Xenopus tropicalis: one gene and its partners. The protein of the gene in region 2 binds, or shares a complex with, the protein of the main gene of each other region. Links are inferred from orthologs where the notes say so. Each region holds a gene or a part of one and is shown on either strand. Other genes may lie near its edges.

Region 1 (4,053 bases), on a different chromosome or scaffold from region 2:
TGCCCCCCTAGTACATTGGTGCCCAGCAGCAGTGCCCCCCTAGTACATTGGTGCCCAGCAGCAGTGCCCCCCTAGTACATTGGTGCCCAGCAGCAGTGCCCCCCTAGTACATTGGTGCCCAGCAGCAGTGCCCCCCTAGTACATTGGTGCCCAGCAGCAGTGCCCCCCTAGTACATTGGTGCCCAGCAGCAGTGCCCCCATAAGTCAGTGTGCCCCGTGGCCCCCCCTAATACATTGGTGCCCAGCAGCATTTTACTCTTCGGCGGCTTCAGCAGCATCTTCCCCTCACGCGCGCCGCCTCTGCACTTCTGCCTACACGCGACCGCACACAGGCCCTTTTATAACGTTGCGCCCCGTGCGTACTGACGTCACCCGTACACACGGGGCGCAACCAATGACAGGGCCCGGATTTTTTTTTTAAAGTAAAAATTGCGGCCCTGCCTACGGCACACCAGGCAACATCTCGCGGCACAAACAGTGGTTGAAAAACGCTGATCTAGAATGCTGAATGGAGTCTATTGCTGATGGTAAATCGGTATTTTATTTTGGTACATTCTAAATTAGTATAACTGAAGCAATAAACAAAAAACTAAGCGTAAGCAGACAAAGGATACTGACAAAATCATCAAAGCCAAGAAGTGTTCCAACAATTTCTTTATCACTCTTCATAACAATATGAATGCGAGATCCTATGCACTTGTCCACAAGCTCTGCAAGATCAGAAATAAAAAAAAAATTAAGAATACACTTTAAAATAAGGCAAAAATAAAGTAAAAATACATGTTAAAATACAAAAAATAATTTTACATTGTGTATATATTAATTAGGTTTGAAAGTAAAACTTGAACAATCAAAGGTTTCTAAATTGTGGTGGTAAATACTTATCGCCTGTCAAATATTTTTTGAACTTCAGACTAAAAGCACATTTTAGTATAAAAATGTATTTGAATGTACTTGGATCTTAAGCTGCATAACTGAAAGGAAAGAGGGCGACTAAACCTAAGTCTGAAAACCACTGATTTAAACCTTCAGGAATAAAAAAAAAAAAAAAGAAAAAAAGCATAGTTTTGTTTGGTAGTTTGCAGTAGAAAGATGTATTTAGCCATTTTTGCCTTAATAAAAATATGTACTTTCGGAAAATATACGGTTTTCGAGGGGCTCCGTATTGTTAGGACGTCTTATGGTACATAATACACATACCGGGTGCTTCTATTGCAGCAGCCAGTATCAGAGATGAACATTTCTATTTCATCTCGGACACTTGGGGGCTGATTTACTAACCCACGAATCCAAATGGGAAAAATTCCGATTGGAAAACGAACATTTTGCAACTTTTTCGTATTTTTTGCGATTTTTTCGTCGCCGTTACGACTTTTTCGTAAATTGTCGCAACTTTTTCGTAGCCGTTACGACTTGCGCAAATTGTCATGACTTTTTCGTAGCCGTTACGATTTGCTCGTATCTTGTCGCGACTTTTTCGTATTGAGCGCTCGTAAACTGCGGGCAAAACTTTCAGACTTAGCATGATTTTGGAAGCCTCCCATAGGACTCTGCAGCTCCAACCTGGCCCAAGAAAAGTCACGATACTGAAGCTTGAATGAATCCGAAACTTTCGTACTCGGCGCGAAGGCTACGAAAAAGTTGTGACAATTCGCGCAAGTCGTAACGCAACGAAAAAGTCACAACAATTTGCGAAACAGTCGTAACGGCTACGAAAAAGTCGCGACAATTTACGAAAAAAATCGCAAAATACAGACCATTACGAAAAAAACGCATTCGGACACTTTCGGACCGTTCGTGGATTAGTAAATCAGCCCCTTGGAGTCATTTAGAGTAGAAAGACACGGTTATCTATTTCGGATTTGGTTGAATGTGCACTTTTAAAAAATATAAATGGTATCCTGGGGTAAACCTAATGTTTCAGGATTTTTGGCTATGGAATCTAAAGTATGCCCTATTCTGCTGTAACACTTTTTTCAATAACTTACTGCTGGGAGTTTTCGATCTATAGAAGTCAGACATCTCCATAAAATTATACATACCTAGTATAGGCACATTCAAGAGATATTAGGCTTTCTGAATAAGTTGAAATTTTATCCATAAAATAAAAGATTTTTCTGGTATAAATCCCTATAATCATATTTTTTTTTTTTTCTTTTATTTGCCTTTAGAGCTCTAAATCTTGTTCCAGAAGTGGAAATACACAAAAACTCAGATTTAGAGCTCAGGTTCTCAAGAAAAGAATGATGTACAGTTTTCCTAGGTAAACTAAAAATCAACTAGAAAATAATTCTGTTCTTTTTTTATCTGCTTACAATTAAAAGGTTCAGTATAAAATATAAATTGTCTAACGCAGGGCTGCCATGCGGCTCCATCATTTGCCCGATAACCTAAAGCACGTCACCTAGCAGGTGCTGTTTAACCCAAGCAACAGTGCTAACTCCAGGTACACTACATCTGTACTTCACAACCCTAGTAAGCCACATACATATCAGAATTCTACAACAAATATGAGTTCAAAGAAAGCATGTCGCATGAAATAGGACAGCGCCATTGAAGATAAAAGCCAATTAGTAACTGCACACTAAAGGTCTCGAACTGGAATAGATCTAGTCACATATTTCCTAGAGTCCTTACCGAGCGGGAGAAGCTGCGACGGATTGGGAGTCACGGTAGCCGCCATCTTTGATATTCCTTACTTCGGATTTCCTCCTGTTTTCGTAATCTCCCGCTGTCACCTACCTAGAGCAATCGATTGCCGATCTCATTATGCAGTCGAGCGCAAGCGCTAAAAACTTCCTGGTTAGGGAAGATTAATCAACAGACGAGCAGAAAAAGGCCTTATATGGCGGAAGAGAGCGAACAGGGGACGTGGGCGTGGCTAGAAGAATGTTTCAAAGCAATGATTGCAAAAGTTGTTGTTGCGCCAGAATAATGAATGTTCAAAAAATCGGCTTGGCTTCATTGCGATTGCTAATTGGCCGGGTATTTTGTCAGATGTAGAATAACCAGCAGCTCTGGACTCTGTACAGCATATTAACCATCCACTTCAACCACTCACGTTTAGGTAAATTAATAGGAGCCCCGATCAATACAGAACAAATTACGGGGGCCCAGGTGCCAACTTAGACGAGTACATTCGAAGTATAGAACTTTTTCAGATGTTTTTGTATGTAGCAGGTGCTCAGCTTGAATCAGCTCTTAGGAGGCATGAAAGTACCTCTGGCCTGTGTTTTGTTTAACTAAAAGGGGAAAGGATTGCAGTCACTTCTGTACCTAAACATTAGCATTTATAGGGGATATACTTTATCCAGAAAATTATATATTTCTGTTTTAATTTTTTGTAGGGTAGTGTTCAATTACAAAACTCATAAATATTGTTTTATCTTAGAGGACAAGAATTTGTAAGCCACCCCTTGATACTGTACTTTAGAGGCATTATGCTGCTTGCCTGCCCTCCAAGGTGTTGAACAACTGCACAGTTTGCTTGGTTCCTGCACATTACATGAGCATAGTGTTGAGGGCCATAGATGATTGATATTAGTCACCTTTTTTTTAACTACTTGTATTTAAACTTTAAAAATTCAGCATGATTCATTCAAAGTCTCTGCTGCTACAAAAAAGTTTAGTTTTTGTAACTGTCATTAAAACTTCTACCTAATTTCAAGATTTCTGCATGTAGAGTGACAGTGTGTCATTTGCTTACTAAAACTCAATGTTTTGAAACCTAACATTCTGAAATTTCCAGAACCAGTTCCCAACTTCCTGCTAAGATCACTTAGAAACCTTCTGTTTACCTAAGCCTTCATTTAGTTTTTCTCAACTGCTGCCTTTTTTAAGCTTTGAGATAAAGAGCAAATAATTATGTCAAGGGCTTACCTGTGGATTGGTAATCACGTGGGTCAAAATATAATGACTGATACAAAAACGTGAGGTAGTAACTTTTGCCATCCAACACCACGTCTGTCGGAAGGGAATGCTGCATGCTGCTCCTGCAGCCACAAGGATAAAAACTGATGGTGTTGGAAAGACTTCTTTTTCTCTCAATGTAAT
Region 2 (4,298 bases):
ACTTACGATACGAAAGTTCCGAAATTTTCATATTGAAACGATTGTTTGCGAATTGTGATCCGATAGTCACGAAATTTTCGTATCCGAACAATTGTAAATGGCGGTAAAACCTGACTTTGAACCTTCTGTGCATGTTTTTGGAAGCCTCCCATAGGACTCAATGGCACTCTGCAGCTCCAACCTGGCCCAAGGAAAGTCTCCCATAGGGCTCAATGGCACTCTGCAGCTCCAACCCGGCCCAAGGAAAGTCTCCCATAGGGCTCAATGGCACTCTGCAGCTCCAACCCGGCCCAAGGAAAGTCTCCCATAGGGCTCAATGGCACTCTGCAGCTCCAACCCGGCCCAAGGAAAGTCTCCCATAGGGCTCAATGGCACTCTGCAGCCCCAACCCGGCCCAAGGAAAGTCTCCCATAGGGCTCAATGGCACTCTGCAGCTCCAACCCGGCCCAAGGAAAGTCTCCCATAGGGCTCAATGGCACTCTGCAGCTCCAACCCGGCCCAAGGAAAGTCTCCCATAGGGCTCAATGGCACTCTGCAGCTCCAACCCGGCCCAAGGAAAGTCTCCCATAGGGCTCAATGGCACTCTGCAGCCCCAACCCGGCCCAAGGAAAGTCTCCCATAGGGCTCAATGGCACTCTGCAGCTCCAACCCGGCCCAAGGAAAGTCTCCCATAGGGCTCAATGGCACTCTGCAGCTCCAACCCGGCCCAAGGAAAGTCTCCCATAGGGCTCAATGGCACTCTGCAGCTCCAACCCGGCCCAAGGAAAGTCTCCCATAGGGCTCAATGGCACTCTGCAGCTCCAACCCGGCCCAAGGAAAGTCTCCCATAGGGCTCAATGGCACTCTGCAGCTCCAACCTGGCCCAAGGAAAGTCTCCCATAGGGCTCAATGGCACTCTGCAGCTCCAACCTGGCCCAAGGAAAGTCTCCCATAGGGCTCAATGGCACTCTGCAGCTCCAACCTGACCCAAGGAAAGTCACCATACCGAAGCTTGAATGAATCCGAAACTTTTGTACTCTGCGCGACAATACCGTTTTGTCACGTAAATTTTGATGCATAGTACAAAAAAGTCTTGCAAATTAGCAAAAAAATGGTGAAAATACGTACAGTATGAAATATGATTTTTTTGTATTTGGAAGCGATCATACTTTGATAAATGGGCCCCTTAGACCAAAGGTTGGCAAACTTTTGTGGGGGATTTCTTTTTAATAAACAAAACCTGAATGCTATTTTTTAATAGTTTAAGGTCACAGCACCCCAATAGGAATTGGCCAGAATCCAAATTGACAGTATTTGCTACTCTTTAACAGGGCCACTATCACACATTGTCTTAGTTCTCTACTAGAGTCTTTTATGAAGAAAATTTGTACTGAACAATGCTAAATGCTGTATATTTGGCTATATTGTAGCTTCAGCAATAGTATTCCGTGGGTAACATCAGCCCGCCAAATCCCATCTGTGCGGAGATTGCGCGTTGCTAATAAAGTTATTGGGAAAAGAAATCCCAGCGTGCAGCGGGTTTCTCGGACACGTGATGCGGGTCAGAGTGGGCGCCAGACTGCATGCTCGTAGGACTTCCGGTTCCGTTTTGACGTCGGGTCTCCGTTAGTCCCCGGGTAGTGAAATCACAGGGAGAGAGGAGAGTGGCGGCTCTGTGGGTGAGTATGGGAAGTAGTTAGCGTGTAAGCTGTGTAACATTGCGTTTGGGCTGGTGTAGGCCTGAAAGGCCTCGGCCTGGAGTAGCTATTGATGCGGGGGAGGGAGGGTGTTGTCAGGGATAGATTTACAGATCGTACGTTCTGTGCGATTCCACGTAGGCAATCGTTGTATCTGTATTCGCGCTACGTTAGTGCAGTTTATCGTCATATAATGAAGCGCAAAATAGGGGCAGCCCAGTTTAGGGAAAGATACCAAACTTTGAGTTTCAGTTGAGGCACCACTTACACCGCAGGTTGGCAGGCCGGTTTGGGTCAGGACCTTCTGTCGGAACAAACATTAGGCTGGGGTCCACCGGAGTATCAGTCATAGTAAGTGGCCTTCCAGGAGTAAAACATTCTTCCCACATTTTCCCTATCTGCCCTTTAGTTGGGCCCCCTAAGAGCTTCAGCAACACCGCCTGGGAACCACTGACTTACACTGGTTGTATTTTGCTGTAGTTTATTGTATCTCATGGGTTTCACAAACACATGCGGATTATGTAATAAAAGGCACTAAATTTGCCCAGGTGCAATAACCCATAGCAACCAGTCAACAGGTATCATTTAATGGATACTTTTTATTGGTTGCTGTGGGTTACTGCTCCTGGGCAAATTTAGTGCCTTTTATTACATATGGGGGATCATTCCTACAGACCTCCCCCTGAGAACACGAATCGCTGAAATTTTTGCATGCCACACTGACATACCTATTCTGACCCCAGTAGGATATTTGCAAAAAAATCTGTCCCATTGAGAAACAAGAAATGTGTTGAAGCCAGGATGCTACTGAGGGTTGCTTAAAGGAAAACTATACCCCCGAACAATGTAGGTCTCTATAAAAATATATTGCACAAACAGCTCATATGTAAAACCCTGCTTCATCTAAACAAACCATTTTTATTAATATATACTTATTTAGTAGTATTTGCCATTGGGTAATCCTAAATTGAAAATTGCCATTTTAAGAATTAAGGGCCGCCCCCTGGGATCATAGGATTCACAGTGCACACAAACAAGCCAAGGCACACATACATGCTAGGCCCCATCAGCCAATGAATGGGCAGAGTTCTGCCTTTTACTCCCACACTACTTCCTGTTACAGTTAGAGCTGCATTATTTCCTGTCAACTGATCTCTGATTGAACACACAGCCCATCACTAAATGGCGGCTCAAGGGAAAAAGATGTAAAATGGCAATATTTACTGATATATATATTCCGGTTTGGTGAGATTCTTTAATAGTTCACTTAACATAATATAAACTGTTGGATAAGTATTCATTTTGTGGGTATAGATTTCCTTTAAGGTTGGTTATATTCCATAAAAAAGTAGTATGGGAATTCCTTTTGGGTTAAAAAAAAGCTTTTTGAGGTCAAGCATTTTGTCTGCTAGCCCCTAAACCTGTTATAGCTTTACAGATATAGGAAAACTATTTTTCATATTTATTTTCATAGATATTTGGGCTAGTAAGCAAGTCTTTATTCCAAATCTTGCTGTATAGGATCAATTTTTTTTTTTTAGCTCTAACTAGGGGAGCAAAGGGGCATTCCCTAAAGATCACCCCCGAATCTGTATTCTCCTTGCCCTCCACCATTATAAGAAGTGGGGAACATACTTCTATAGAGTTATTACAAGTACATAAAGTACTAGAATAGTAAATGTAACATTCACTAAAATTAGCAGGAATATACTAAAATGAAGTTAGAGAAAGATAATGAATTTTTCTCTGTGGGTACAGAGTGATACTTTGCCTCTCTGGGCAAATGCTAAATTCCTCCCACTGACACAGCATGCAGTTGAATGCAAACATTTGGTCCTCCCTGACCAAAATACATATTAAGTTAATTTTTCTAATTGAAAAGGCAGTGATCAAGCTGAAGGTTTTGGAATGGCCCTCACAATCCCCTGACTTATCTGCAAGCCTGTTGGTAGATCATAAACATTCATAGCACAGGCCACAGAATATCTCTGCAGGGATCTGCAAGGAAACGTGGGCAAAAATCCTTGAATAGAATTTTGTTCTTTTATTAGGCAAAAAACTTATTTTGGGATGACATGTCCTTTAATTACATATGCCATTTGGCAAGGGGTGCCCAAACTTTTTGAGGAAAAACATGTTTAATATGTCTGTTATCTATCTTCTTTATTAATAACATTGGCAAGTTTCCTGAATATAAGCAGATGCGTATATGTCTATACGTATATATCAGTCTGTAGTACAACTGAATCTGTTAGATTTGTCTGTTTGCAAAATGGGGTACATATAGGGCAGCATGGGGGGTTAGCTTTGCTGCTTCCAAGAGCCTTGTCTTGGATTTGATTCTGACCACATACAAAAAAACACCGTTTAGTGGAAGCTCAAGAATAACATGAGGCCTGGGTGCACGTTGCCCATACTTGCTGTTTGAGGAGACAACCCAGGATATGAGCTGGCACTTAGAGACCAACAAACAAATTATAATGTAGACTTTATTACACTAACCTGTCAGGATACAAAAAGCATTATGCCTTTCATGATAAAGTGTACAAGGCTTTTTAGAGGGGTTATGGAGTAAAAGCACTGTGTTTGCCCAGGAGCAGTAACCCATAGCATTTACTGGTC
Region 3 (3,934 bases), on a different chromosome or scaffold from region 2:
AATTTCTTTTTCCATAGATTATTAGCAACCCACATTAAATCTAATTGCTTGCCTGATACCCCAGGCTGGTCCTCCTGTTCCCTACAAAATTGCACTGGCTTAGGGTATTTCTAAAGAAGCTGCTCTTCACCATATTGTTTGACTTCTTTGTTCCAGTCCAGGCAGGCATATAAGCAGTAAAGTGAAAAACTGAGCTTTTTCGCCCTAACGCGCCCAAAGAAATGAAGGCAGAAGAGAAGATTGCACCAAAAGAGCTTCTTCAGAAATACCCTGGTCCAGTGCAGTTTTCAGCTAATAGGAGCACTTTCCCAGGGCATCAAGTAAGTGATTTTAATAAACAGGATTAATATTTTTCAAATATATGTCAAACCCAAAAATAATCTTTTTCCTAATAAAAGAAAACTTAATTCTAAGCAACTTTGCAATATACATTCATTACATATTTGTAATGGTTTTTGAGTTATTTGTATATATATACCAGCTATTAAAAGCAGTGTCTGCTTGTCCTTTTTATTCTCTACCCTGAGGGGTCTGGTGTTTGAAACAATGTAACAAACACCAGCAGATTTTACAGACCTGACTTGCTGGAGGAGCCTGGCACTTGCAACATTGTTTAAAATGTAACAACCAGGAGTTCAGCAAATGCTGCTTTCTATAGCATTACATTACATTTACAAATAACTTTTAAAGCACTAATAATCTTTAATAAATTGATATTGGAAAGTTGCTTAGAATTGTTTTCTTTTATTAGGCAAAACATTTTTGGGGGGTTGACATGTCCTTTAGCGCGCTGTGACTAGATATAATGAATAGCAGACTACCCTTCCACAACTACCAGAAACCACACTTCCCTTTGTTCGCTTAGTCATACTAATTTTAGAATACTATATAATCCCCTCTGCACCAAATAAATGTTTGTTTTTCTACGTCAGTTCCCTATAAGCAGAAACTACAGAACTCCTCTTTCCCTTAACCACGATGGCAGCGCCTTATGATCACATGGCCTGTTTATTCGACACCACCATTGGTGGATAGGACTAGCCCGATACTATTGGTACAGGAAGGTGTCACCAAAGGCTTCCTTTGCCCAACAGTCTCTGCGCTTGTTGTCTGAGCAACGGGCGGAAGTGACCGTGAGGGAGCGCGGTACAGAGCGAAACATGGCGAGTTACCTGGGTGGGACACGGGGTTTGACTACATTCGCCTGCGTTGTTCTTATAGCTAGAAATGGCGATATACTTGATTTGTGTGCTTACAATTTGGGCATGTTATAACCATTTAGTCTTACTAGTTTCTCTGTCACTCCTAGCCGGCATGTATGTTCCCGCCTGTCCTGTTAACTCATTGTTACACAGAATCGTCTCGGGTTTTTTTTAGTTCTATCAGGGTCCCGTTGCGGGCGAGCTCTGCAGCTTTATTTGTCTGGGTTAGGGAGAAGCTGGTGGAAGGACCTCTTGTGCAACATGTTTTCTTTAGATAATTGATTGGCTCATATAATCAGTGAAGGGGGATTTTTGGATACTGGTCTGAGAATTAAATATTTTACATATATTATAGGCAAACTATACCCCCTGACTGAGTACTTAACCAACAGATACATTATTTACTAAAAAGGAACCTATTAAAGAATGTTACCAAATTGGAATATATATTGGTTAATATTGGCCTTTTCCACATTGAGCCACCATTTAGTGATGGGCTGTGTGCTCCCTCAGAGATCACGTCAGGGAATAATGCAGCTCTAGTGTGTATTAAGATATTATTCATATCTTTTCACATTTAATTATAAGTTTTAGATTTCACTTTTTTGATTAACTTGTATAATTTGTGCTTAGTACAGGGCGGGCGGTTTTTCTTTGGGAGGCCCTGTAAGATGTATATTTGAAGCTTTGATATAGTATGTGCTTATTACAGGGCTTTAATGGTAACCCCGAAAAAGCTTTTGATATAGTAATGTATGATATATGCTTGTTACAGGGCCTTAATGGTAACCCTGAAAAATGTGCAAATTAAAAGTTTTGGGTATAAAAAGGGAAGTGACATGGGCATTCCTCTGATGAAGCACTTAGTGTGCGAAACGCGTTAGGAAGGAGAAAGGGTGCCAGGTAGCATGGGATGTACCTTCCATTTGGTATAGTATGTTTTATGTTATGTTTTTTGAATTTTGTATTTAAATTCTGAGCCAATAAATGGTTGTGTTTTTCACTGAATAATGTGTTTAATTATTGTATGGTATTTCAGGACCTTTCAGTGAGATACATCTTAGGTTTTCTTTCTCAATCTTACTAATTGTTATTTAATAATGCAGCTCTACCTGTAACAGGAAGAAATGTGGGAGTAAAAGTCAGAACTGTCCCCATTAATTGGCTCATGTACCCTAACATATATGTGTGTTTGTGTGCACTGTGAATCATTTCATAACAGGGGGTGGCCCTTAGTAATTAAAATGACTTTTTTTTTAACTTAGAATTATCCATGGTCACATACTGCTACAAAAGTATATTTTTATGAAAATTGTGTATTTTGATGAAGCAGTGCTTTAACTATGATCTGCTTTTTGTAAAATATTATTTTAGAGACCTGCATTGTTTGGGGGTATAGTTTTCCCTTGGCAATGTCCATCATGTGCTCTGAAAGTATGCATTTATAAAGAGTTAGTGACACAGCATATCATTTAGATTTTCTTTTTGAAAGGTCTTAGCAATCTTACTTTTTTAACTTACATCATGGGGCATTGTTCATTATTGGGTAAAAACAGATTACATTTTAAACATAATAAGTGAATGCAAAGTCCCAAATTAAAAAATTGTGCAAAAAGTCATGCATCTGTATTAAACTTGGTTAGAAAGTTCAGTAGTTAGTATAATAATAAGATAAGCACTACACTGGTTTTAATTTTGTTTCATATGCTTACTATTGAAGTGTGAAATTTTGGCATAAATTCTACTGTATGGTAATAGCTTTTATGTAATTAAGGTCAACAAGGATGCTTATTATTATTATTATTATAGTATTATTTATTATATATTATATTATTTAAAAGGACACATCATTATTGAAATAAAATAAGTTCTGCATCTTTAATAATGTGCCATCCAGCACACCACAGATAGCAAAATTGACAGTATAAATATGTTGCTTAAAACCTCTTATATTGCAAGTGTGTAATAAACAAGATAGGCAGAAATTGGAGTAGCATCATAAATAATTAAATGCTCCTTATTGGTGGGCTTGTTTCAAAGGGGAAGTTAACTGTTGCATTGGCATTAGGCATGTTATAGCTGGACCTGGCCAGGGGCTCTTCCTTTTTGGCTTTTTTCAGTCTGAAGATACAAATACTGTCAAGTTGTTGGGATCCTTGACCCTGGCAACTACAACAGATTTAATGTAAAGCTTTATTTTATTATTACAGGTCGTATTATTATTATTATTCCTTTCATCCCCCCCTTATTTTTACCTTGCAGTTTGATTTCAAAAAAGCTTTTTGATTCTTAGCATCCACATATGTTTTTGTTTCAAGCATTAGAATATCATTTTTTGCATAAAAAAAATTAAAAAAAGAAACAATCTGTGGCAAGGTGTAGCTTGTATTAGAATCCAGTTGTATATGCCTGAGTTAAAGTTAATCCTAAGGTCTCACTTTAATGACTTTAGTAAGTACAGAGTTTTGAAACCTATGTAAATGGGTTATTTTCTACAGGCCTCACACACTTGGGTCCAAAACACTGGTAAATTGACCTATTCTATCAAGATATATTGAAATTGCTCATTAGTTATGGCTCCGCTGGACTGCCTACACTCGTAGGCCCCTCTGCAACAGCAGGGTAAAAAAAAAGATGAAACAATGAAACAAATTGAAGGAGATATTGTCCTTGTGGAGGGCCCTAAAAAAAGCTCCACATTTGTTCTTTTGGCTTTCAGTCTGACAGCCTTG
Region 4 (4,247 bases), on a different chromosome or scaffold from region 2:
GTAGAATTGCTATTGTTTCTACCTCTATATCCGATGATTCAGCCCTGAACGTCAATGGAGGGTATAAATAAACTCAGAACTAATTTGCAAATGCAATCTGCAGTAAATATTCTACTACCCTTAAAGCAGATGTCAGTATTACAGCACAGGTGCTAAAAATATCTGCGGTGCACTATTTAATATTTTAAAACAGTTATTGTCTTTCCTGTCAGGAAAGCTGCCATATTGCTTATTACGTTTAATTTCAATGTACTATTTTGAGTATTAGTTGATCTACAGAAAAAGTATTGTTGCTATTATATTCATAATCCCCCACCAAGCAGCCAATGGACAGTTTAGCTTCTTGCAGAATTTGCTACACAATGAATGAAAACAGAGAAGCACTGAAGCCAGTTTCTTAGAACTTAACTATGAGGATTTGTGGAAACAATTGTGCTTCAACATTTATTCCAGTCTACTCCCATTACTTAGATCAAACCCCCGATCGGGGCAAAAGAAGTACAGATACAAACCTAAATTCGCCAGTACAGAATTGCCTGAAATGAGAAATAAAGAATTATTTACAATTAGCAGATACTTTACCTAACGTAATCTGTTTGCACAACAATGCATTCCTGCATAGCACATAATGCATTAGTCTACAACAACTTCTTTTTGATATCAGAAATAGCCCCTTAGACTGATGCCACATGGGTTGATTCTGGCATCAGCTTTAAGCATCAGAAATGGGAAATTCATGAATTTACTTTATCCTCCATTTACTTTTACTTCTAAACACTAAAACTAAATCTCCTTCAGTGCAGGTGACAAATGCCCAAAGTTTCCTTACAACCAGCATTGATGTAAATTGCTGGTGAGAATATTAATGCCTGTGGGAAGGGACCTTTGGATGGTTTGAAAAAAAGAAACAAGGGGTGTAAAGTAGTGCTGTCAAATTCTTTTAGATGCAGAGGGCTGTATATTAAAGAACTTAGTTGTGATGAGAGAAACAAAACAGAAAGGAACTCTATGTGGATAATATATTATTAGTATAATTGTAAAGCTTTAAGCTATTTAAAAACTGTTTGCTAGATATAATACAGGTATAGGAACCATTATTTAGAAGTCCATTATCCAGAAAAATCAGAATTACAGGGAAAGCCATCTTCTATAAACTCCATTATAATCAAGTAAATCAAATGATATAAAGTGATTTCCCTTTTCTCTGTAATAATAAAACAGCACCTTGCACTTGATTCTAACTAAGATATAATTAATCCCTATTGAAGGCAAAACAATCCTATCAGTACTGTCTATTTTGTAGGCTCGACAGATAGCTGGCACATGGGGAGATGAGTCGCCCGCGGCAAAACTCCCTGTTCGCGGGCGACTAATCTCCCCGAGTTGCCTTCCCCTGCCATCCCATCGGCGACAATGTAAGCCGGCGGTGGGATGGCAGACGCGGCGAGGCGATTTCGGCAAATCGCCGAAAAAGACTCGCAAGTCTTTTTCAGCGATTTGCGCGAAATCGCGCCGCCGCATCTGCCATCCCGCCGGCGACTTACATGTTCGCCGGTGGGATGGCAGGGGAAGGCAACTCGGGGAGATTAGTCGCCCGCGAACAGGGAGTTTTGCCGCGGGCGACTAATCTCCCCGTGTGCCAGAGCCCTTAGTCTTACTGATCTAGTGAGACTAAAATAATGACAGCAAACATCTGATTGGTTGCTTTGGGTTATGGGCAGTTGCAAACTTTGTCAGTGTTGCTATATAACTACTCCAGAGTTTTGACAGCAAAAGTCATGCAACTTCACCTGAAGTTCTCTGCAGTTTTTGGTACAATATCTGCAAAAAGTTCCACCTTCATCCGGCCCACCTCCTGAAAAAGTAAATGGACATTAAATTAGTTTTTTTTGTGAAAAGACAATTAGCACATTGGTATTACAGTCATCATACCCTTCATGTTTTCCCAGAATATATGCCTTTCTTCACAGTTACACACAAGCAAACTAATTTGAAGTTGAATAGCATAAAATATAGCAATTACAAAACTTTAAAAGCTTACAAAATTAGGCCACCCAATGTTTTTAATATTCTGTATAACTTTAATTTAAATAAATGCAGAATAAATAGGTATAGCAACAGTTTGCTTGAAAGAACAACTTTTTCAAAGACACGGAATGGACAAATTAGCCCTCATGTTGACACATTTTCCAAAATGTCTAGTTTCCATGTTGACTTTTTTCCATACATTCTAAGGATAATATTCAGAGCTTTCCAAGATGATCTTTTTTCCCCTAATTGGTTTGATCAGCCGTCTGGTGGCTTTACAAGTTTTGTTTTGGGCTCTCTTTTGGGGTTCACGCCCAGTCTTCCTTGGGGGCAGGGTTCATGAATTGGGATGCCATGAGAATTTTAGAGTTCATATTTAGGGATTTTCTCAGGGCTTAGAGTGCATGTTTAGGACCATCAGTAAAGTTTTAGGGTTTAGAGATCGGAAAGAACAGTGGGGCCCATACACGTGGAATACAATTTAAATACATAATAATTTCTGCTATGAATATAAAAATCTGTCCTTCAGTCACAGTACACACTTAGCCTTCTTGCTAATACTACACTACACCATGCAGCCCCATTTGCTCAGCTGCAGTTTGTAGGTGGTGTTGCATGGCGAGATTCTTCTCAGTACGTAAGTATGGAATCATCATTTAATGCAGGGCTTTCTCAATGTATTATACTTAACACCGCGTGTTACCTGCCCCCCGATACTGATATCGAAGAATACGATGGGATTGTTAGCGTTGGAAGCCGGTACCGCCATTTCTATCTGGGGCAAAACCGGAAGAGAAGAGGCGGCGCTTCAATCCCAGAAGCGGCTTGCTTGTAGGCTGTATGCGCAGGCGCAGTGCATTGTTTTACACGCTTTATTCGCATGAAGTTGGTGGGCGATGCGATATGCCTGCGCTTCTAACCTTGCAGGGGATTATGGGAGAGTGGCAATAGCAGTACGTTTACGCGTGACTAAACCTGATTTACTCATTGACATATAAGCAGTACAGAGGTTTAGTTTTGGATGGAGTGGAGTTGTAGCATTCACATGTTCCGTGCAATTAAATTTATTTCTGTTGAAGCTATCCATATCTGTAAATATCCATGCTGTCTGCCTTGCTCTCACATCAAGCAGTGCTAATACAAGCGCCTCAGCGCTCCACACCGGAAACGTCTTTTTTTTTAGTTCCTATTTCAATGTGGCCTGATCACAGCCGTGATGCTGTGTGGGCGAGAGTGCGTTTATAACAGAGCTCTGCTTCTGTGTGGGTGTATGTGTGTATTTATGCAGTAGGTAGAATTATGGTTACCTGTGGCTGCTGCACATAGGGAACACACCAAATCCCCTCTGTATTCTGTGAGGAGAAGGGAGGTTTTATTGTTTGTATATCACTTCCCATAAAATCTCCCTCTCCACTGGCAGCTTTGTTGCTGTTTGGCCTTCAAAACTATTCCATAAATTCAAAGTACAGGGAAATCAGGTTTCCCAAGAAACTGATATGGGTATGAAACCTGGGCCCTAACAAATAAATTGACTGGGGAATAAAGTATATCTAAAACCTAAAAAGTTAATATAAATTTGTCAGTGTCCTCTTCTAGTCACATTTGCATTTTACATCAATTATTTTTTAAAGCTTTTAATCTGCTTATAAACAGCGCCGCCTACTGGTCAGCTCTTACAACCATACAGCTGAGTGAGTATACATTGAGAAGGAAAACAGATAACTGTTCTGATGTTAAGGTCCCCATACACAAGGCGATTTCACTCGTTGTGCGACGAACTATTATATCGACAAACGATCGTATGGCGACCGGGTTTCCATACGATATGCCATCCACAGGCAACGATAATTTGCAATTTTTACAATCGTACATCTACGTACGATCCAATGTCGTGGCGGAAGCGGTATTTATTTATTTATGTTCGTTGACTTCCGCTGCTGGCAATCATGACATGCGCAGAGAACAATCGTTCGAAGACAAATGTCTGACACTCACACCAACTGGCAGATTTTATCATTAAACGACTAAAATTTTTAAACCTGGCCGATCGATTTTGGGGACAATAATGTCGGGTCGATTAGTGGGCCGACGATCGTTCGCACACCATCAACTATACGATAACTTAACGATAGTATCGGATCGTTCGGGAATCGGTCGTTTGACAGTAAAAAATCGGGCCGTGTATGGGGGCCTTTACTCTGTTCAGGAAAGACATAAGA
Region 5 (4,012 bases), on a different chromosome or scaffold from region 2:
ATTTATATACAAAGTTCCTGCTAGCACTGCTGGACAATAATTTTGAGAACCAGAATAAAAGGTGTTCCCCTTAAAATAAGAATCACTCCCTTTACATTTCCCTATGCATTGGCTATACATTAAGATTTTTTATTTGAATAAAAATATTTAAAATGAAAAATGCACTTGGTTTATTAAAATTACCTAGAGCTGGAGGAGGATCCACACATACATTTTAAGCCCTACACACACAACAAATTGTGGCGCACACAAAAAAAGTATGTGAACACACTGGGGCAGATTTATCAAAGTCTGAATGGGTACGATTACAAAAAATTTGTATTTTTTCTAATTTATAGAACTTTGTGTATTTTCCACAATATTTTTGTTAATTTCCGCAACTTTTTTGTGCTTTGAATAAATTTGTGAGACAAAATCGAAATTATCGCAACGACTACAAAAGTTTTGAAATTCATTCAAGCTGCAGAGTGCCATTGAGTCCTGTGGGAGGCTTCCAAAATCATGCATTGAAGGTTCAAAGTCAGAAAGTTTTTTGCGCCGGATTGTTTCGTTCGGATACGAAAATTTCGTAACTTTTGGATTGTACCATTTATTTAGATGAAGGTTTACTGAAGATGAAGCAGGGTTTTAAAAAATCCTGGAAGACTGATAAAAGATGGCGGCACTTACAGGGAATGTACTCCAGGCTGGAGGAGCACTGGCTTGGGTTTGAAAGTTAGTAATTATACTTACTAGGAGTGGGTGCCTAATATGTGAGAAACTTGCCAACCAATGGCAGTGTATGGCAGGCTACCAGGGGAAGCAATGCACAAAAGTAAAAAGAGTGAGGGTGGTTGGGGAAGGAACATCAGCCCTGCTGCCTAAGGAGGAAGCAACCCCTGCAGCACCTCTCTCCATTTTCTATTGCACAAAATAAAGGATAGTATCTTTTGCTGCAAAGAAATGCACAGATGAAAAAATGTAGGTCTTTACCTTAGAAGACCTAAAGTTGAAAAATCAGAGACAAGTCAGGAACATCCAGCTGCATTAATTAAAATGCAATCACTTTGCAAATAAACAGCCCTAACAATTTGGATTTATTAAAAATGTGCATATTTTTCATGTGATCTGATAACAATAGTGGGAATTTACAAAACTGGAGCAATTAGCAGTTAGAAAGGTTTCATTTAGACATAAAAGGTTGAATATGTTCTGAATATGTTCCAACCTAAGTTACTAACTTATCTCTGAAATTGTAGCACACAGCAACTATTCTGGAAGTAATTCAAGTACTTAAGCTACAGCATAACTGCCACGTCTTGCATACTGTAGCATACTGTATACAGACAAAATGTAGATTGCAGGTTTGATTTTCCTGTTGAATCAAGGACTACATCTGTGATTGCTGTAGTCCTAGTTACTTGCCTGCATAGAGACAATTTTGATACAATCAGCCCAATTTTGCCCACCTTAAGGTCCATATCAGTGAAAGACACACTCATTCAGCGACCTTGTCAAACAAGTGAATCTTATAACGTATGGCAAAGCTTTAGTAGCAGTACTTTGTAGTAATAATTGTTTTAAGAATGCATGGCAAAGTAGAATTCTTTAGAAATTCACATTTAGAAAGCATACCTTCTCTTCCACCCTGAAACTTTACTCGAATTGCCTTGTCTATGTATTTGGAGAGGTCTAGAATGCTTTCCTTTTTCTTTTTCTCTTTGTCCTGGGGAAAAACAATCAAATATGTTTATACATTTAGAGCTGCTAAGAGCAATACTAGGCTATATAGTAAGAGGATTTGAGAAAATATGGCTCCAAAAGTTTTAAAGCTCAGATAAGGTTAAAGAAAACTATACCCCCAGAATGAATACTTAATAAAAAACAAATATAATCTTTTGGTTATGTTAAGTGACCTATTAAAGAATCTCGCAAAACTGGAATATATCTGTAAATATTGGCCTTTTATATCTTTTCCCTTGAGCCACCATTTAGTGATGGGCTGTGTGCTCCCTCAGAGATCACATGACCAGAAATAATGCAGCTCTAACAGGGAAAGGTTTGGAAGCAAAAGACAAAACTATGTCCATTCATTGGCTGATGTGACCTAGCATGTGTGTGTGTGTGTGTCTCTGCATTTTTTGTACACTGTGAATCCTATGCAATCCTTAATTCTTAAAATGGCTATCTTCTACTTAGGAGTACCCAATAGCACAATCTGCTTAAAAAAAAAAAAAAAAAAGTATATTTTTATGAAAATGGTTTTAGATAAAGCAGAGTTTTACATTTCAGCTTGTTCATGCAATATATTTTATAGAGACCTACAATGTATGGGGGGTATTGTCTTCATTTAAGAGGGGGGGGGAAAGGAGCACCATTCAAACAATTGTTTTGATCAGTTTGTCATTAGATCTGTATCATGACTCTCCTAGGGCTCCTTGCCTCTCCTTCCCTGGAACTACATTTAATTCGGATATAATTAAGAGTTGTTTACTGACCACTTTATATACAACACTTTGGATAACCCAGCTCATAAAAAGAAGAAACACACGGCTGCGAATATACCTCATCGCATGAGTACTTTGCCGCGTGCGCGGCGTCTTAAGTGGATGTGATAGGACGCATAATTACGGTTCCTCTTAATCACCTCCCACTGTTTTACAGTCTTTAGCAATATGTTCTAATCATGGGTACCCGCTACGCAATAAAAAGAAAAAACGTTCCATAATCCACTATATATGACTGACCAACTCTACCGGACGAAAGCTCACTAAATTCTACACACTCACCGCCATCTTCCCGCGCCTCTGTTCCTAGGGGCAGGCGTACCCATTTTAATCAGCTCTGGGGGCACCTGTACACCTAATTATGATTAATTTTTTTGCTCCTCCTAACTTCTCTCTTCCATCCTTATGAAGTACTAGACTAAACTAGTTAAGCACGTTAAAAGTTTTCTTAAGAAAGTGCTTCGCTATGTATTTTTTATTTTCACTGAGGAATTTCATTCACACCCCCTACGACTTTAACTGGTTTGGAAGAGTCTACTTTTTTTTCTCTTTTTTTTTAAATAGCTTTATTGACTGCCCTCGACAATTATAATGTCGCCGTGACTAGGTGTATAACCCTAATTTAATAAATAGTTGTGAATGGTAACTTATTTTCTGTCTACAAATCGCAAAATTATATGATGGATTAAGTCATTTTGAATTACCCACACTCTGTAAAAAATATTATGCCTGTGGGGCGGGCGTTTTTTTTTTTTTTCACCCTTTCACTTTTTTCTGGAATCACTTTTCCATAAACAAATATGGCGTGTAGCGTGCGTAGTTACGTCACATCCTGTAGTCATCTACCATTTTCATTACAGCTTTCTATTGAACTGCTCTACTATGGGGCTTGGCCTTTGGGACCTGTCACTAATACATTGCGAATGGGAGGATAACCTGAAGACTTGGATGTAGTGCGCAGGCCCAGGAGATGGCGCTGAGTAACAGTTAACAAATGGTGCTTGGCGGTTTGAGTGTTGCTTTGCTAAGGCTCGTGACCTGGAAAAATGAAGCTTCTTTTGATTTTCCTGTTATGGGGTTTGTTTGTAACAGAGGTGAGTGATATTCAATTACATTTTCATAATGCAGAACATCATTTTTACGCGTTTTATTTACCTTATTTTCGCCATTGCCACCTGTATATTGAAGGTGCTGCTGTTTTTCGAAAATTCACTTTAATTTTTTTATACCTTCTGAAAGCCCCGCCCATCCATGATTTTCCACCTTGTTCCGAATTCCTGACTTTTTCTGTGTACACACGCTTTGCTGATCCCCAGAAGCTTCCTATACGCAGTATTTAAATATTTAACTGGAGTTTGCTGTCACGGGCTTCCTAGTGACAGTCATTAAATTCGTATAGATTGTTGAATAAATATTTCCTGCTACGAATTGACCTGATTGAGCCAGTATTGATATCTGAGATATAGGGTCTGTTGTAGGCCCTACTTTGTGTTCTTCTGTCTGAAGAATATGAATACTTCCAAGTG
Region 6 (3,955 bases), on a different chromosome or scaffold from region 2:
TTGGAGCAAGGTAGAATAGATTTTTTACTTTAGTACTTACTTTTTTTTTTACTTTTAGTGTTACTTTTCCTTTAATCATTTTTAGAAGCAATCAGATTAATCAGTGGTTTTCATCCAAACAGACCCCCCCCAAGGATAAATAAAATAAAAGTGATTGACTTCTGAGGATTAGAGTGTTTATTTATGTGTGTTGTGAGCATTACACAACAGCAGAGCTGCTAAGTTCTCTGGAAGCAATGCCACCAAGGGTTGTTGGCCAATCAGAGGCAAACAAAACTAACAGCATAAAGTGTGATTGCAAACAAAAGTTGTAAATGCCATCGCCACTGGACTTCAGAACAGTGGAAACACATTCTCTGGAGTGCTAAATGGCGGTTAAATACAGCTTGACACAGTTCCCCAGAAAGAAATTCAAAACTCTCAATACAACTGTATAACATTTTTACAGTTATATTTATTAAAGGGTGAGTTTTTATACAATGATAACTAATAACTAAAATGTTAACTAATCTCTAAAAATCCAAAAATAAATAAAAGAGCTGTGAAGGAGAAGATAAAAACACTGTAGTGAAGGAATACAGCACTGTACAGTCTGACTGGTAAATGTTAAAACATAACTTGTAGGAATAAAATACAAATCATACTCCCCCCCCCCCCCCCCCTTAAAAAAGATCCTTCAATCACATGGATAACTTTCTTTCACAGGCAACAGATATTAACCAAATAATGCAGCTAACTGTGCTGTCACTCAGCATCTGCCTTCATCATGACCTAGCAGGCTAATATTTCATACCAACACTGATGTAAGAACAGTCTTAAAAAAGCATAAAATATTTTGTAACTTAAAAAACAGCAACAGCCAAAAGCTTAGATACAGACAGAACACAAGTCAGCATAACAGAAATGCATATATGATGCACCATTTATCACTCGGAGCATGATCTAGCCATGTGGTAATGCACTAAGCACCTAGCTTATCTCTGCACCAGAAGAAATACCTTCAAAACAGCAGTTACGGCACCATAGATGAGGTAACAAGAAACACCATAATCAATAAACAATTTCCACACACTTAAAGGGGAATTAAACACCCCAAAAAGCAAAATACTGTACAACTGCTCAGAATACTCTTCTCAGCACTTTTACTATTTACACTGAACATTTTAAGATATAAGCACTTTGCAATAATAATATAATTTATTTGAAACCACACAGCTCCCTACTGTTCTGATCAGCTGGCCATCATAAAATGATGTTACTGAGTTACTCAGTAGGCAATATCATTGACCAAGGAAACCTCTCTGCTCAGTAACTACCTTAACAGAGCACTGCAGTTTTAAATTCATTATATCAGTGTACATTATAAAAGTGCTCAGAAGAGCATACTACCAATTTTACATTAATTTCTTTTGGGGTGTTTAGGTCCACTTTAACATTTATATTTTTATGTTCTAACTAAAAATGTAGGCAAATACCAAAATAGATATATAGTAATAACATACTTCATCACAAGATATTCGATTAATGGGCCCAGTCCTGTGATCTTCAATCACCCCAGACAGTAGACCTCGAACGCAAATACAGCAAGGCAGTGTATGTGCTTTGGGATGCCTGTGAAATAACACAGAATATACAGAATCTCGCCTTTTCTATGTTTTTTCTTTATTTCCAAACATGAAAATACTTAATCTTTGAGGTTCCATATGTAGAATCATTAGCACTCACACAACATTGGCCAAATTTGCCTTTGGGCAGTTACCCATAGCAACCAATCCATGATTGGCTTTTTCAGCTAACTGCATTTAGAACAATGAATGCAACAACTTGATTGGTTGCCATGAGTTACTATTCAAGAGCAAAGTTGCCCAGTGTTGATAAATGACCCCCACCGTTCTCAGAAAACATATGAACAAATATTCCAAGGGGCCTCAACCTACACAGCACCCTTACTTGATGGAATGATGTCACAATTTTTGCTCTTCTACCCCTCTCTCTAAACTAAGGCTCCCTGTAATGATCACCAACTAAACTGGTAAAAGAAATGATCCCCTTTTTATATAGAATAATTTACCACTAGAGCATTTCCTAGTTATTTTCTCTTAAATTTGCAAATGTATTTGAGTCGTGCATTAGCCTTTACTTTCTTCATCCTAAGTTCAAGCTGAATATGCTCCATACTCTGTTTAAAAGCGGCATCACCATAACCCTCTGTCTCCTGGTTGTGACTTTAGATCAACATGTTTCCTGTAGAGCTCCATTTTCTTATTTACACTGCTATTTGGTTAGTAGGGGTGTTGACCAAAGTAACCAGTCAGTGGTTCCAGTCACTGGCTTGAAGATAAATAGGAGAAGGCCTGAATCTATATTAATATGTATGAAAAAGACCCACTCCTGCCAAACCATTTTTAACTATGCCTTGAACCAGCTAGAGAAATCACACATGTGGGGGGTCCCCACCACTTATGTCCCCAAAGGGGGGGGCAGCTGCTGGAGGAATGCTTAGAGGCAGGTGTAGGGGATAAGGCGGCAGGCCCATACATACAGGCATCTGGACCTTCTACCTGCCTGAACCTTTTTTAATCCAAACCCACCTGACCTGCAGGTCTTCGATACACTGCTATAAATATATCTTACCTTTTCAGCTATACTGTACAAAACTTCATCCATCTTCATACAAGTTGGATCCCAGTCATGGCCAAAACGTATAACTAAAACTCTGTCTTCCTCAGACAAGATTGCCTGGTCGACCTGCCAGCCATTGTGCAAATGAGGAAGCATGTACGACATTTTGGCAGCTTTGCTTTAAAGCTAAAAGGACAAGAAAAGAAGTATTGCAAGAAATGAAACACTTTTCTCAAATGCGTGAAGATACAAACATACTCCCATCTACACTGACAGGCTAACATGCTAATACTTTCAATTAAAAATTATCTGGGCAAATTTTAAATATTTTTAATGGTTAAAGAGTCCGAAGTATCCCCCAAGATTATAGTTTACAGATGAGGATACAAATTGTAGCGTAATGCTGCTCGTAACAATCCGACATGAATCTGGGAAATGTGGGGCTGCAGTAGAGGCAGGGGGATTGCCTGAAGGCCACTTTGGGTGAGTATTGGTGCAAATTCATGTGAATCAATAGCAAGCTCCTGAGTTATACCAACAAGCTGCCCCAAAGCCTTATATATATATATATATATAGGCTACATACCACCCAACTGTGCTGATTTAACTAATACAGTCCGCAGTCCCGTACGGTTGTTTAAAAGTCTTGCGGTGCTGTTGCCGTGTAGCCCCTCGCTTCCTGCCGTACAGCGAGCCAACGCACCGCAAGTCTCATCTCGCGAGAAGGTGACGTCACATCAATACTATAAACGTGGTTACGCAGCACGTAGCTGCCTTGAGGCCAATGTCAAAGGAAGATGGAACTTGAGTTGAACATGTGCTGTTTCTTTTCTTTATATGCACAGCCCAGTAGCTGCAGCTAGAGCCTATGCCCCAACAGAACCTTTAAATTAACTAGATTAGACTAGACTATTTAAATTTAAATAGATTTAGCTTATGCCAGGCACAGGGAACAGAGAAATAAGGCTTTTAAGTTCCTGGTTGTGGTCATACCCCCCCAACTGTCCCGCTTTTTACGGCGCATCCCGCTGTCCCGGATAGTTCCATGAATGTCCCGCATTGCGGGACATTCATGGAACTATCCGGCACAGCGGGATGCGCTTGCTGTAGCCAGATGTTCTTGCTTCTTCTGCGGCTTCGTTATGCCTCTCCTTGTGCAGCGCGACAGGCCCTTTTATAAGGTTGCGCCTGTGGGTGTGACGTCATTACGCACGGAGCGCAACCTTATAAAAGGGCCTGTCGCGCTGCACAAGGAGAGGCATAACAAAGCCGCAGACGAAGGCTGCGCCTATGGGAGGTACTGTGTATTGGGGGGGGTACTGTGTATTGGGGC
Region 7 (3,998 bases), on a different chromosome or scaffold from region 2:
AATACAGCCCAGAAAATATGCAGACTTGGCTAATTATAAAAGCTAAAACAGACGTATTACCTTTGAGGTTTGCTATTTAGTGGTATATTCTGTATAAATATTTTGTTCTGGAAACACAAGACAGTGAGGTACAAGCATAAGCAACTGTGTAAAAGATGAAAATAGCTAGTGGACAGACAACACAGGGCAGATAGGTAGGTGCTAGTTAAGGGATCAAAAATCCCAAAAGAGAGTTAGAAAATAAATAACACCCGTGAGAATATGGTACTGATGCTGTAAGTACCTTCATACAAAAAAATGTGTTTTCATTAGGAATAACTTTTAATAAATGCCTAGTAATTTATATATTAAAAAAAAAAAAACACACACCTCTGGTGATCAAACAACACTTCCTTAAAATTAAAATATACAATCTCCAACTGTAAAGGGGATATAAACACAAAAATAAAAAAATCTTCTTAATGAAAGAAACTGATGTTCTAAGGAACTTTCCAAGACGCAATTATTACTTTTATAACATAAAAATCATTTCACAAAATGTAGCCTTTGTCTGTTCCAATTGCAACTACTCAGCTCTTCTCAACTGTTTATCAGTTGGCTTCTGCTACATTGTTACAAAAAAGCAAGCATCATGTCACCACTCTCTTCTTTCTTTGGCAGGTGCACATGTGCAACAGAATGAAATGCCAAACTTAAAGCAAAAAGCTCTTTATTTTTTACTCCAAGGGCTGTGACAGACAGGGAGATTAGTTGCCGCGAGACAAATCTCCCTTGTCATGGACGACTAATCTCCCCGAAATGCCATCCCACCGGCTAGAATGTAAATCGCCGATGGGATGGCATACGCGGCACCGCAATTTGCCGAAGTCGTGGACGTTTCCTCTCAAGGCAACTTCGGCAAATCGCAGCACCGCTTATGCCATCCCACCGGTGATTTACATTCTAGCAGGTGGGATGGCATTAATATCTGGGGTGTGCCTAACATTTTGCCGCTCGGGATACAAACACAATCATTTTCACCACACACCTGTATAAATATCACATCCACTGCTCTGGTGGTGCAAGCCTTCCATAGGACTGGCAGGTCCCTGTCTCCAGCAAATAGTATTGTAAGGGAGCCGCTCACACACAACGATATATGCCGTTGGGGAGCTTACCCCATTTATTGTGCCCACCTAGATCAATGGTTTTTTTGGGGAGGGGGTTCAGGACATACGTCCCATCCAGGCACAAGGAGGGTGTAGCCCCCGAAACATTGATCTAGGTGGTCACAATAAATGGGGTAAGCTCTGTTACAATACTGTGCCATCCCCCAGAGATTTTAACTTTCCTTCTCCTTTAAACAAGACCCTTCCTGAGCATTAAAATCTAATAACAACCTTGTTTTTCTTGAGAGAATCCAAGGATAAATGGCAAATTCTGCATTATGATGTTCAGCATAGGGCTGATGAATTCATAACAGGGCCAGAGTTATCATTCGAGCTCTTAGAATAAAAAAGGCAGGTACGTACAAGACATGCTTACAAAGCATGAAGGCGATAAGTAACTGGAAGCAAGGAGTTTTTGGTTGAAAGGGTACCTGTGCAATCCCCGTGGATCGAATGCAAATATTCCCGCCTCCTCTCACTCCCTAAACTATACAACGCATTCAACCAAACTGAAAAATTTCTTTTACGCATCCTATTACATTGTGTCAACATTCAGCAGTGCAAATTATTATTCTTACTTTAGTTGCCGTGTATGTATCGTTTCCCAAAATGTCTGCCACCACCGTCGCAGTTGTTACGTAACAATATTTGTCCGTCGCATTCTTTAATACGTCATACGCCCTACCCTCTCACCGCGCTTATATGCGACGGTCCGATTCCTACAGATCCGGAGGTTGGCTCAGACTATGTTCTAAATGTTGTTGGGTTTTTTCTGTTGTCTGAAATAATGCGGAAAAGAATTCAAATTGCTCACCATTACATTTTGTTTTGACAAACGATACGGTTATCCGGAAGTGTTTGACGCCCCCATATAACTATAGATAAGGAGAAGTATAAATAAATACAATAAGGAAATGATGAATGTAGTTATTGTAATTGCGATTCCCCAAAAAAGTGGGAACTAACATTTATTTTGGTAGCTGAAGTACACTTAGTAAAAGTGGCATAGCAATGCTAATGTCTTCTATATCTGATGGGTAAATGATACTTCAGTTGTGTTTTGCAGTGGTGGAAGCTGCCAAGGGCAAACTATTTAATGGTGTCCCATTAAAAGTATATATTCATTGACTGGATGGAGGTGAACATGCAGGAAACGCAGAACTCCTGTGTGAGCCAAGAGCTGCAAATATCCTGTAAATGATATCCTTATAAACAGTACTTAGTGATGAATCAGATATAATCAGCGCTCAGTGATGTAATCTCATGAGTTACTGGAACTTATGTATTATAATAAATAATGCACCCCCTGTTGTAATATATATCACCTTGGAGTTACATGACCTGTATTAAAAAAATCGCTATACATATTTAGAAATATCAAAACTTTCTAGTTTTACTAACAGTGGAAAAAAAGATTTTTTATAATTAGATACCATGTCAAAGCACAATCCACTCACCAGGATTCTAAGAAAATGAAAATGTGGAGCCTAATTCCTGCTAGGGGGGAAAGTAGTGTTGGTGGAGCTTATAAATCAGACATACAGACTTACTCATGTAAGCACAGGTTCAACCATTGGCACATACATAGATTTAGTAAGATATACACATGGCACTGACAGCACTGCACTAATTGTATTTCGGCTCCTCCTCTCTGGAACAGTACTAACCTCTGTGATTTAGCAGAAAACATTGTGCATATTGGCTGAGCAGCCTTATTAGTGCCCAAAATCTTGAGAACCTGTAGCAAATTTCCCAGGGACTGAGGGCATGTAGGGCTTGTTGCCCCTCAGTAACTCTGCCTAAATATAAAGGTTATATTTTCTCAATTGATATTTGCTCTCTACCCATTTAAAGGAGAAGGAAAGGCTAATAAAGAGTTAATCTCTAGCTGCAGGCATACCTTCAGTTCTTTCAATAGTGCCCTTAAAGGAACAGTAACTCCAAAAAATGAAAGTGTATAAAAGTAACTAAAATATAATGTGCTGCTGCCCTGCACTGGTAAAAGTTGTGTGTTTACTTCAGAAAGTCTACTATAATTTATATAAATAAGCTGCTGTGTAGTATGGGGGAAGCCATTCAAAGGAGAAAAGGCACAGGCACAAAGCAGATAACGGATAAAACACTATTGTATTCTACAGAACTTATCTGTTATTTGCTATGTAACCTGTGCCTTTTCTCCTTTTTTCCAGCTTGAATGGCTGCCCCCGTGGCTACACAGCAGCTTATTATATAAATTATAGTAGTGTTACTGTAGCAAACACACCAGTTTTACCAGTGCAGGGCAACAGTGCATTATATTTTTATTACTTTAAAGTTCTTTTATTTTTTGGTGTTACTGTTCCTTTAAGTCTCCCTATATTTCTCCCATTCAGATGATCAGAACACTGAGCTCTGTAAAGAAGGTTCCCATAATGCCTCACTTCTTAATCTCAAGCTGCAGGCATACCTTCAGCTGTCTCAATAGTGCCCTTAAGTCTCCCCATATTTCACCTGTTCAGAAGATCAGAAGCCAAACAGGAAGAAAAAGCACTGAGCTCTGTAAAGAAGGTTCCCATAATGCCTCACTCATGCAGCAAGACCAAGACCGGTGTACATGCTCAGTTTGTAAGACTATGAGGAAGCTTCCTGCTGATTGGCTCAGATCCACATTCCTAAGGGGGGGGGAGAGAGTTCTTAGCATTCTTGAGGGAGGGGGGAGCAGGAGAGAGCTGCGTGTCTCTGGCACAGGAAAACAAACAGACAAGAAATCCTGTATCTTTTGAAAGAGAAGTCAGTGCAGCGTTTCTGTATTATGTCTCCTTTCCCCTTCCCAGTTCATCCGCTTGTTGGTGTCTTTTTCCACTAACATTG

What was found.
Region 1: prpf3 (region 2) and lsm5 share a complex: the UniProt entries of both Homo sapiens proteins name them as parts of the precatalytic spliceosome. The link is inferred for Xenopus tropicalis from reciprocal best matches to the Homo sapiens genes PRPF3 and LSM5.
Region 3: prpf3 (region 2) and lsm4 share a complex: the UniProt entries of both Homo sapiens proteins name them as parts of the precatalytic spliceosome. The link is inferred for Xenopus tropicalis from reciprocal best matches to the Homo sapiens genes PRPF3 and LSM4.
Region 4: prpf3 (region 2) and ppih share a complex: the UniProt entries of both Homo sapiens proteins name them as parts of the U4/U6-U5 tri-snRNP complex. The link is inferred for Xenopus tropicalis from reciprocal best matches to the Homo sapiens genes PRPF3 and PPIH.
Region 5: prpf3 (region 2) and lsm7 share a complex: the UniProt entries of both Homo sapiens proteins name them as parts of the precatalytic spliceosome. The link is inferred for Xenopus tropicalis from reciprocal best matches to the Homo sapiens genes PRPF3 and LSM7.
Region 6: prpf3 (region 2) and txnl4a share a complex: the UniProt entries of both Homo sapiens proteins name them as parts of the precatalytic spliceosome. The link is inferred for Xenopus tropicalis from reciprocal best matches to the Homo sapiens genes PRPF3 and TXNL4A.
Region 7: prpf3 (region 2) and sart1 share a complex: the UniProt entries of both Homo sapiens proteins name them as parts of the U4/U6-U5 tri-snRNP complex. The link is inferred for Xenopus tropicalis from reciprocal best matches to the Homo sapiens genes PRPF3 and SART1.

What each region holds. Positions count from the first base shown.
Region 1 is NC_030682.2:61,893,525-61,897,577, forward strand, and holds the start of lsm5 (U6 snRNA-associated Sm-like protein LSm5), read right to left. Parts: upstream 2,801-4,053; 5' UTR 2,684-2,800; coding exon 2,638-2,683; intron 711-2,637; coding exon 615-710; intron 1-614. UniProt on the Homo sapiens protein: Plays a role in pre-mRNA splicing as component of the U4/U6-U5 tri-snRNP complex that is involved in spliceosome assembly, and as component of the precatalytic spliceosome (spliceosome B complex).
Region 2 is NC_030684.2:127,698,570-127,702,867, reverse strand, and holds the start of prpf3 (U4/U6 small nuclear ribonucleoprotein Prp3), read left to right. Parts: upstream 1-1,498; 5' UTR 1,499-1,658; intron 1,659-4,298. UniProt on the Homo sapiens protein: Plays a role in pre-mRNA splicing as component of the U4/U6-U5 tri-snRNP complex that is involved in spliceosome assembly, and as component of the precatalytic spliceosome (spliceosome B complex).
Region 3 is NC_030677.2:103,365,108-103,369,041, forward strand, and holds the start of lsm4 (U6 snRNA-associated Sm-like protein LSm4), read left to right. Parts: upstream 1-1,134; 5' UTR 1,135-1,160; coding exon 1,161-1,163; exon of another isoform or gene 1,164-1,176; intron 1,177-3,934. UniProt on the Homo sapiens protein: Plays a role in pre-mRNA splicing as component of the U4/U6-U5 tri-snRNP complex that is involved in spliceosome assembly, and as component of the precatalytic spliceosome (spliceosome B complex).
Region 4 is NC_030683.2:94,758,872-94,763,118, forward strand, and holds the start of ppih (peptidyl-prolyl cis-trans isomerase H), read right to left. Parts: upstream 2,801-4,247; 5' UTR 2,798-2,800; coding exon 2,732-2,797; intron 1,856-2,731; coding exon 1,791-1,855; intron 537-1,790; coding exon 513-536; intron 1-512. UniProt on the Homo sapiens protein: PPIase that catalyzes the cis-trans isomerization of proline imidic peptide bonds in oligopeptides and may therefore assist protein folding. Participates in pre-mRNA splicing.
Region 5 is NC_030677.2:92,742,502-92,746,513, forward strand, and holds the start of lsm7 (U6 snRNA-associated Sm-like protein LSm7), read right to left. Parts: upstream 2,801-4,012; 5' UTR 2,775-2,800; coding exon 2,769-2,774; intron 2,565-2,768; exon of another isoform or gene 2,550-2,564; coding exon of another isoform or gene 2,478-2,549; intron 1,706-2,477; coding exon 1,615-1,705; intron 1-1,614. Other genes in the region: sppl2b (signal peptide peptidase-like 2B), read left to right, coding at 3,533-3,580. UniProt on the Homo sapiens protein: Plays a role in pre-mRNA splicing as component of the U4/U6-U5 tri-snRNP complex that is involved in spliceosome assembly, and as component of the precatalytic spliceosome (spliceosome B complex).
Region 6 is NC_030682.2:96,972,807-96,976,761, reverse strand, and holds the start of txnl4a (thioredoxin-like protein 4A), read right to left. Parts: upstream 2,801-3,955; 5' UTR 2,788-2,800; coding exon 2,635-2,787; intron 1-2,634. UniProt on the Homo sapiens protein: Plays a role in pre-mRNA splicing as component of the U5 snRNP and U4/U6-U5 tri-snRNP complexes that are involved in spliceosome assembly, and as component of the precatalytic spliceosome (spliceosome B complex).
Region 7 is NC_030680.2:38,861,957-38,865,954, reverse strand, and holds the start of sart1 (U4/U6.U5 tri-snRNP-associated protein 1), read right to left. Parts: upstream 2,801-3,998; 5' UTR 2,733-2,800; intron 1,928-2,732; 5' UTR 1,727-1,927; intron 1,667-1,726; exon of another isoform or gene 1,580-1,666; intron 1-1,579. UniProt on the Homo sapiens protein: Plays a role in mRNA splicing as a component of the U4/U6-U5 tri-snRNP, one of the building blocks of the spliceosome. May also bind to DNA.